Linked DNA regions of Nothobranchius furzeri. The protein of the gene in region 2 interacts with the protein of the main gene of each other region in a pairwise test. Links are inferred from orthologs where the notes say so. Each region holds a gene or a part of one and is shown on either strand. Other genes may lie near its edges.

The links.
Region 1: the proteins of znf277 (region 2) and gngt1 interact in a two-hybrid assay, tested with the Homo sapiens proteins (3 studies listed by BioGRID and IntAct). The two-hybrid records come from large-scale screens. The link is inferred for Nothobranchius furzeri from reciprocal best matches to the Homo sapiens genes ZNF277 and GNGT1.

Annotation. Positions count from the first base shown.
Region 1 is NC_091751.1:27,157,315-27,160,459, forward strand, and holds gngt1 (guanine nucleotide-binding protein G(T) subunit gamma-T1), read right to left. Parts: upstream 1,676-3,145; 5' UTR 1,525-1,675; intron 1,450-1,524; 5' UTR 1,447-1,449; coding exon 1,351-1,446; intron 1,238-1,350; coding exon 1,112-1,237; 3' UTR 669-1,111; downstream 1-668. UniProt on the Homo sapiens protein: Guanine nucleotide-binding proteins (G proteins) are involved as a modulator or transducer in various transmembrane signaling systems.
Region 2 is NC_091744.1:55,284,243-55,288,171, forward strand, and holds the start of znf277 (zinc finger protein 277), read left to right. Parts: upstream 1-1,325; 5' UTR 1,326-1,388; coding exon 1,389-1,476; intron 1,477-1,642; coding exon 1,643-1,856; intron 1,857-1,929; coding exon 1,930-2,018; intron 2,019-2,121; coding exon 2,122-2,204; intron 2,205-2,527; coding exon 2,528-2,619; intron 2,620-2,681; exon of another isoform or gene 2,682-2,783; coding exon 2,784-2,894; exon of another isoform or gene 2,895-3,184; coding exon 3,185-3,317; exon of another isoform or gene 3,318-3,929. Other genes in the region: immp2l (mitochondrial inner membrane protease subunit 2), read right to left, coding at 290-335. UniProt on the Homo sapiens protein: Probable transcription factor. Involved in modulation of cellular senescence; represses transcription of the tumor suppressor gene INK4A/ARF, perhaps acting via the Polycomb group (PcG) complex PRC1.

The DNA.
Region 1 (3,145 bases), on a different chromosome or scaffold from region 2:
TGCAGCACGATTAGACACTCGTTTATGTAGTTTATCAGCAAAAAAAGTTGATTTGGGGGTGACTTGCTCTTTAAATTCAAATGCAGTGCAGAGTTTTTACCTGACAACGGCACAACACTGCAATTTTAGGAAGAAAATTCGATTTTTAACTAAAATGCACTCAAGTGCAAAACAATTAACTACACATGTCTGCAGCACAATTAGACACACATTTATACAGTTTATCAGAAAAAATAAGTTGATTTGGGGGGTGACTTGCTCTTTAAATGTGGTACACAATTAAATTTTGTATTTGTTGCATTTATGTCTTTGTTCAGTGCAGAGTGATTTATTCTACTTTATTCCTGTCGTGACAACAAAATATCGCCACTGAGATTAAGATGTATAAAATTAGAGTGATGATAGCCACAATTATTTATGATGGTTAATATTATGATGGTTATAAATTCAAACACAAAATCAAAATTATAGCTTTATGAATCTCTACTGACAAAATAAACTCATTTGACCATTTGATTTCATTCCAGTGGTTCTTTCTTTATTCAGCACTGAAATAAACACGCTGAAGGTTTTTTTGTATTGCATTCGAAGTTTTCCTGTAATCTACCCCAAAGCAGGAATATTAGAAAATTTTGCATATGAGAAATAAATAAATAAATACATACACAGGGAGTTCTTTAAAGTTTATTTTTACCTGTGATTTATGCTGCAGCATATTGTATTATATTACGACAAAAAGTTGGGGCAACTGAATGCGTGCAAACTGAGTTATGGAGATGAATGCTAACTTTTCTGTCAGCCCCGAGGCAATCACAGAGACAGGCTGACTTATAAACATGCACATATAATGACAGCTGCTTCAGTGTTTGAACAACACAGACACCCGTTTGCCCAGACTACATTCACATTTGCCAAATAAACTTATTTATTGCATCTTTTCAAAGAATAAGGTTATAAGGCTACAGATCTGGCCTGAGGATAGGGATTCAGTTTTATGAACTCTTTTTTATCGTGTCCTTCTAGTCTCCTTCTGCAAATCCATTTTGCAGGGGGGAGAGAGAGAATGTCCTTGGGTGCTAATCTGAGATGTAGAAAGCTCCCCAGGTCTTTTTTAGCAGACGACACAGCCACCTTTCTCCTTGAAGGGGTTCTTCTCCTCAGAAATGCCTTTGACGAGGGTGTCCTCCTCCACTCCCGCCTGAATGTAGTCCTTGATTTCTTCGCAGCATTTAGACGTCTAAAACAACAAGAGGGAGCGTTGAATGAAGCTATCTGCTCTTTGATTCAACAGATTTAAAAGGATTGCTGTTATTGTGCGTTTTTTTAATCGTGTCAGTGTAAAGAACTTACCAGCCACCGTTCAAGTTTGACTTCAACTTTGAGTTGGTTCACCTCCATTAAAGCCCTGTCCTTGTCCGTCAGATCCTCCACGTTTATGACAGGCATCGTCTGTCAAAGCAAAAGAAATGCTTAACATGTTCAGGATGTTAAAATATTAAAAATAGAGTTTCAAATGAGACTTACAAATGGTCACAGGCAACAGTCCTTCACTGCCAAAATCCTGCAGAAGAATCCCTCTCCCCTCTCTCAATCTGGGTTATAAAGTAATCTGCACCAACAATTCTAATCTGCTAATCTGATTTAAAGAAGCCCCATTGAAGAACGATGCCGTGTAGCTCAAGTTTGCCTACAAAGGCGATTGTGAATCACACAGGTGTCTGTTTGGATTTGTCTGCATGTTTAAAACATATATTTGTTGTCTTTTAACAAACAAATCAGAATTTTAGTTGACTGTGAGTCTGAGTGCAGATGAATGTGGGTTAAAGGGTGGTGCTTCATGCATCGGATCATTCTGATAAGAAGGCTAATCTGTATTTAGCCTCTACCTGTCAAGGTGGAGGCGTATCATTGGTCTAAACATGACTGCACGGCAGTTTTCCATTCACATCCAAAAGTTTGAAACAAACAATATTTACATCATAAAAAATGTCCATGAAAAAAGTTTTACTGTTTGTTTTGTGCATGACCAAAATAAAAAAGTGGGTGAAAACGTTGCTTGTACATCTCATGATCAGCCAGATGTTTTACCTGAAGGTCTTTTGTGGACGTACATCAGCTGATTGATAGGTTTAAAATGTCTTCCGTACCTAACTGATGACTCAAAATCAAAGGTTCTCGTCAGGTTTTCCCTGAAGTCGGCCCTTTCTGTTAGTACATCATCTCAGGAGTGGACTTATATTCAATCACCAACATAACTGATTAACTTTTGGAGGCAATCCACTTCAGAATGTGCAATTTTGGGAATCTTAACAACCCAAACATGAATTCCACAAATTTTACAGACGTAAAACATGGTTTTATTGTTGCTGTGAGTCATTCAAAAACATTTACCCTAACCCTATAGCAAACCATCTAAACAAGCTAGCTTATGAAGAGCAAGTCACCCCCAAATAAACTTTTTTTTGCTGATAAACTAAATAAATGGGTGTCTAATCGTGCTGCAGACACGTGTCGTCAATAATTTGGCACTTCAGTGCATCTTAGTTAAAATTTAAATTTTCTGCCTAAAACTGGCAGTGTTGTGCCGTTGTCAGGTAAAAACTCTGCACTGTATTTTAATTTAAAGAGCAAGTCACCCCCAAATCAACTACTTTTTTCTGATAAACTATATAAATGTGTGTCTAATCATGCTGCAGACACGTGTAGTCAATAGTTTAGCACTTTAGTGCATTTTAGTTAAAATTTAAAATTTCTGCCTGAAACTGTCAGTGTTGTGCCGTTGTCAGGTAAAAACTCTTCACTGCTTTTGAATTTAAATCTGCCATCGCTATTGGCTAAGAGGTATGCTATGATGTAAACTGGTACATTATGATGTCACAATGTCGTGAGTGTGTGTATTTGTTAGTGCCTCCACCCTCTCGGTCTGCTAGGCAACAGCATTTGTTGCATTTTTCAAACATGAAGTGGGAGTGAAGTACGCTTCTTGTAAGGGGTGACTTGCTCTTTAAATCTGCCACCGCTATTGGCTAAGAGGTATGCTATGATGTAAATTGGTACATTATGATGTCACAATGCTGTTGTGAGCCTGTGTGTGTGTATTTGTTGGCGGCTCCGCCTTCTCGGTCTGCCAGGCAACAGCATTTGT
Region 2 (3,929 bases):
CACCTTTTGGATATTTTCAGTTTTACTCTAAATATGAAAAAACATGTCTATCCATTTTCTTTCACTATTTAGTTTTAAGAATTATTTACTTAAATTATCTGTTTCAAATTTTTTCTCAGATTGTGACATCACAAAAGAGGAAAGCTATATAAGATCTCTCCAGAGATGTTCAATCAGATTCAAGTCTGGGCTCTTGCTGGACCATGTCCTACACAGAGTTGTCCTGAAGACACTTGATACCATGGCTGTGTGCTTTGGATTATTGTCCTACTGAAAGATGAACAATCACCTCGGTCACTCGGGAGCAAGTTTTCATCCAGGGTTAGTGTTATCATCTCTGTGCATTGCTATATTAATCTTCCCCCCTGTCCTGACTAGTCTCCAAGTTCCTGCTGTTGAGAAAAATCGCCCACATAACGATGCTGCCACCACCGCTAAACCTTTACCGATGGGAGTCGGTTAAAGGTTGTGACAAGAACATTAGTCAGCATCATATCTGGCTTCCTATTGGCTGGGGGACTTTAGGCAGGATTCGCGAGAGGAGGGCACAGAGGGAAGGAACTGAAGCTGAAGGACTGAGGACATTTGTATTAGTTTAAGGGCAGAAGAGTCCATTCGAGAGCAAGTGAATCGGAAAAAGGGACTTCAAATGTGAACAGAGAGCAGCAGAGTAAGAATGAAAACAACGATTAATGCCAGCAAATCGAAAAAAAGTATAGCAGAATATTACTCCCGCAGACAACCGTCCACTTAGCAACTTTTTATGCTTCAAAGAAAGCATGAAACAGAACCGAGCTAACACACCTACCAGCAGCGGAACTTCCGTCCTCTTGGTGTCTGACCCACAGGGTGATCTTCCGGGTCCTAAAGCCGCCGTCCTTATCAGCCCTTCACTGTTCACCAGAGACGCCCCAATCCTGTCCTACAAACAAAAACATACCGCTGATATGACTAAACTAGGGTTATGGTTTCAGACCTTAAGGCTATGCTACTGATTTTACAGATTCACGTGTGAAGCATGGGCTAATCGAAAGCAAAAACATCATGTTGAATATTTCTGATTTGATCGTTTGGGTGAATGGTTTGGCTGCTACATGAAATATAAATGTTAAAATACACAGCAATACAAAAGAAAAATAAAAAAATTCAGCTCTGTTGTTTGAACAAATTGTATGAGACCGGCTCCCGATGACTCCTTTCTAAAAATGATTTAATAAAACACTCGTCCGTGTGAAGCAGAACAGAATTCTCATAAACCTGAACATCTGTTGGTGCAGAGTGTTTATGGAGCAGAACATCTGGAACAGCAGCAGAAACTTGTGAGGAAACCAACACGGAGTTGGCACCATGAACGCTCCATGTGAAGTTTGTGGTTTTAACGGAGGAGCATGAACGCGCCGCGGACAGCTCTTTGCTCTTATTGGACCATTACTTTACCACGTGACAACATGGCCGCCAGTGACCGAAGTAAACATGGTATGTTGAGTTTTAAATATATTTTAAGTGCCTATTGAGAACTTTCTGGACCCATTTCTGAATATTCGGCTTGTTTAGAGCACCCGCTATGTGGGCGGCGGTTCGGACCGGTTTACGGTCACTAGCTGTTCGTATTAACCGTCAGGTCCACATGTCTTTTCCTTAGGTGAGGACAGCATCCTGGAACCGCTGTGTTTTCCAGACCCGCCAGCTGGATGCTCCAGCGCTGCCAGTTTGGAGCGGCCCAGTTCGGACCTGCTGGTCTGTCTGTTCTGTTCAGAGTCCGTACCCCTGCTGCTCAAAGACACTCTTCTCAGACACCTGGTGCTGGATCACAAGCTGGTGATCGCTGATGTCCAGCTCATCGCAGACCTCTCAAAGTACCAACCCATTCCGACTGACCAATCTAAAGTCCGATGTAAAGTCTGGTTCTGATCTGATTGTTTCCAACAGGTACCTGCAGTACTGGAAGGGCCGGTTCCTGGAGCAGCCGCTCACAGAGTTCTGCAGTGTGATTAAGACCAACTCTACTGGACCACTGGGTCAGTTCCCATACCAACAGAAATGAACACAAACTGAGTCCAACCTCTAGAAACGGTCTAAAGGAGGTCCTTCAAAGCTGATGACACGTCTTTGTCCCCACAGAGAAACAGGAAGACTACTTCCTGTTATGTGACATCCTTCCAGAAGACCGGATCCTTAGAGAGAGACTCCAGAAGCAACGACTGGTGAGACTGGTTCAGACTTGTCTTGGTCCACTCAGCCAATTAACATGTACTGAATAATGAACTGTGCACATAAACACACTCAGAGCTGCAGCTTTCCGGAGAACAGGTCACATGACTTAATCTCCGGACTCCAGGAGCATCTTTGTCCTTCTGTCTTCTATAAGTAGTGTCCACTAGTGGTGCCTTCAGTGCTGCTCTCTGTTAGATCCTGTATCACACATTACACACATGCAGGATGTACGTACCTGGTCATACCTGGTCAGGTGGAGAGTACCTTTACTCTGGTTTTTGTTTCCACCATGATGAGCATTTGTCTTCTACAGGAGGAGGTCCTTGAGCAGCAGCAGAAGGAGAGAGATGACAGCAGCTTCCATCATCTCTGCATGTTCTGCAGCGAGGAGTTCACTGGAAACAGGTTGTCCAAATCTGACTTCCTTTAGTAGAGGTGTTTGAAATCACTTTAAAGGGACAACCCTGTTTTATTACTACTTTTTTTATTTGACTACGTAGGCTCATGGATGATGGTATCAGTGGGTCTTAAGACCTTGGAGTATTTTGAACAGACTTTCTGGGTTTTAGGTCATCTTTGCTGAACCACATGGCAAGAGAACATTCCTTCAGCATCGGCCTTCCAGACAACATCGTGTACTGTGATGAGTTCCTGGACACCCTGCAGAACAAACTGGACTCGTGAGAATCAAATCACATTAGGTTTACTGTCGTGTGGTGCACATGATCTCACACCTGTTCCTCGACTAGATGTCGCTGACACTTATGCTAACTGAGGCTGGTCTAGAGAGGGTAGAAGTGCTGCCCTCAGAGTGACCGGTCTAATTTCAGCTTTAGATCTTTTCTTTAGTACGGATGCAGGTTTCAGACATTCTGGCGACACAAATGAAACAACTGATGGCTTAAATCTGTAAAAAATGATCTAAATGTTAAAGAGGGCATCACAAAATGTGTCATTGTTTCTGTTTCAGCCTGCAGTGTTTGTACTGCGAGAAAACATTTAGAGATAAAACCACGCTGAAGGATCACATGAGGAAGAAAACTCACAGACGCATCAACGCCAACAACCACGACTACGACCGCTTCTACGTCATCAACTACCTGGTAACTCCACCTTCTCCTTGCTGCGGTCATCATTACTCATCAGTTACAACCGTTAAAAATGTTGTTTGGCGAGGCGCAGTAATTAGCATAACCATAGCGTCATGGTGTTCTTAGCATTCTGCCCTCTGACATCCCAGAGTGACTCACTGCGGCAAAAGTTCCGATCAACTCATAATTTACCGTTTAGACGAGGGACTTGACGCTATTTAACATGAGTTTTTATTTCCAGTTTCTCGTAGTTTGCAGCAAGCAGAAACATGCCTCCTCAAATGTGACAAACAGCAGAGCCTCCATGACTCAGTGTCACGGTCATGTAGGTCAGTAAAAACCGCTCTTTAGGGTCGAAGGTCTGAATCCCAGCCGGGTCTCTAGTCTCCTGGCCAGTCTTTTGGGATAGGCTGCACCTTCAATGACCCTGAGCCTGATTAAGCAGGAGCAGAACCAAGAGGACCAAGGTCCTGACATGAACGCTGTCCCTGTCTTCATTGGACTGCTGGAGGTTTATCAGTCCATCAGCAGTAAACAAGTCCTGACCCCTGGGACACGGTGTTTGGTGGTGCTTCAGTGGGTTAGTGCTTCACTGCGGAGCCTTCAGACATTCTATGTTGAAGG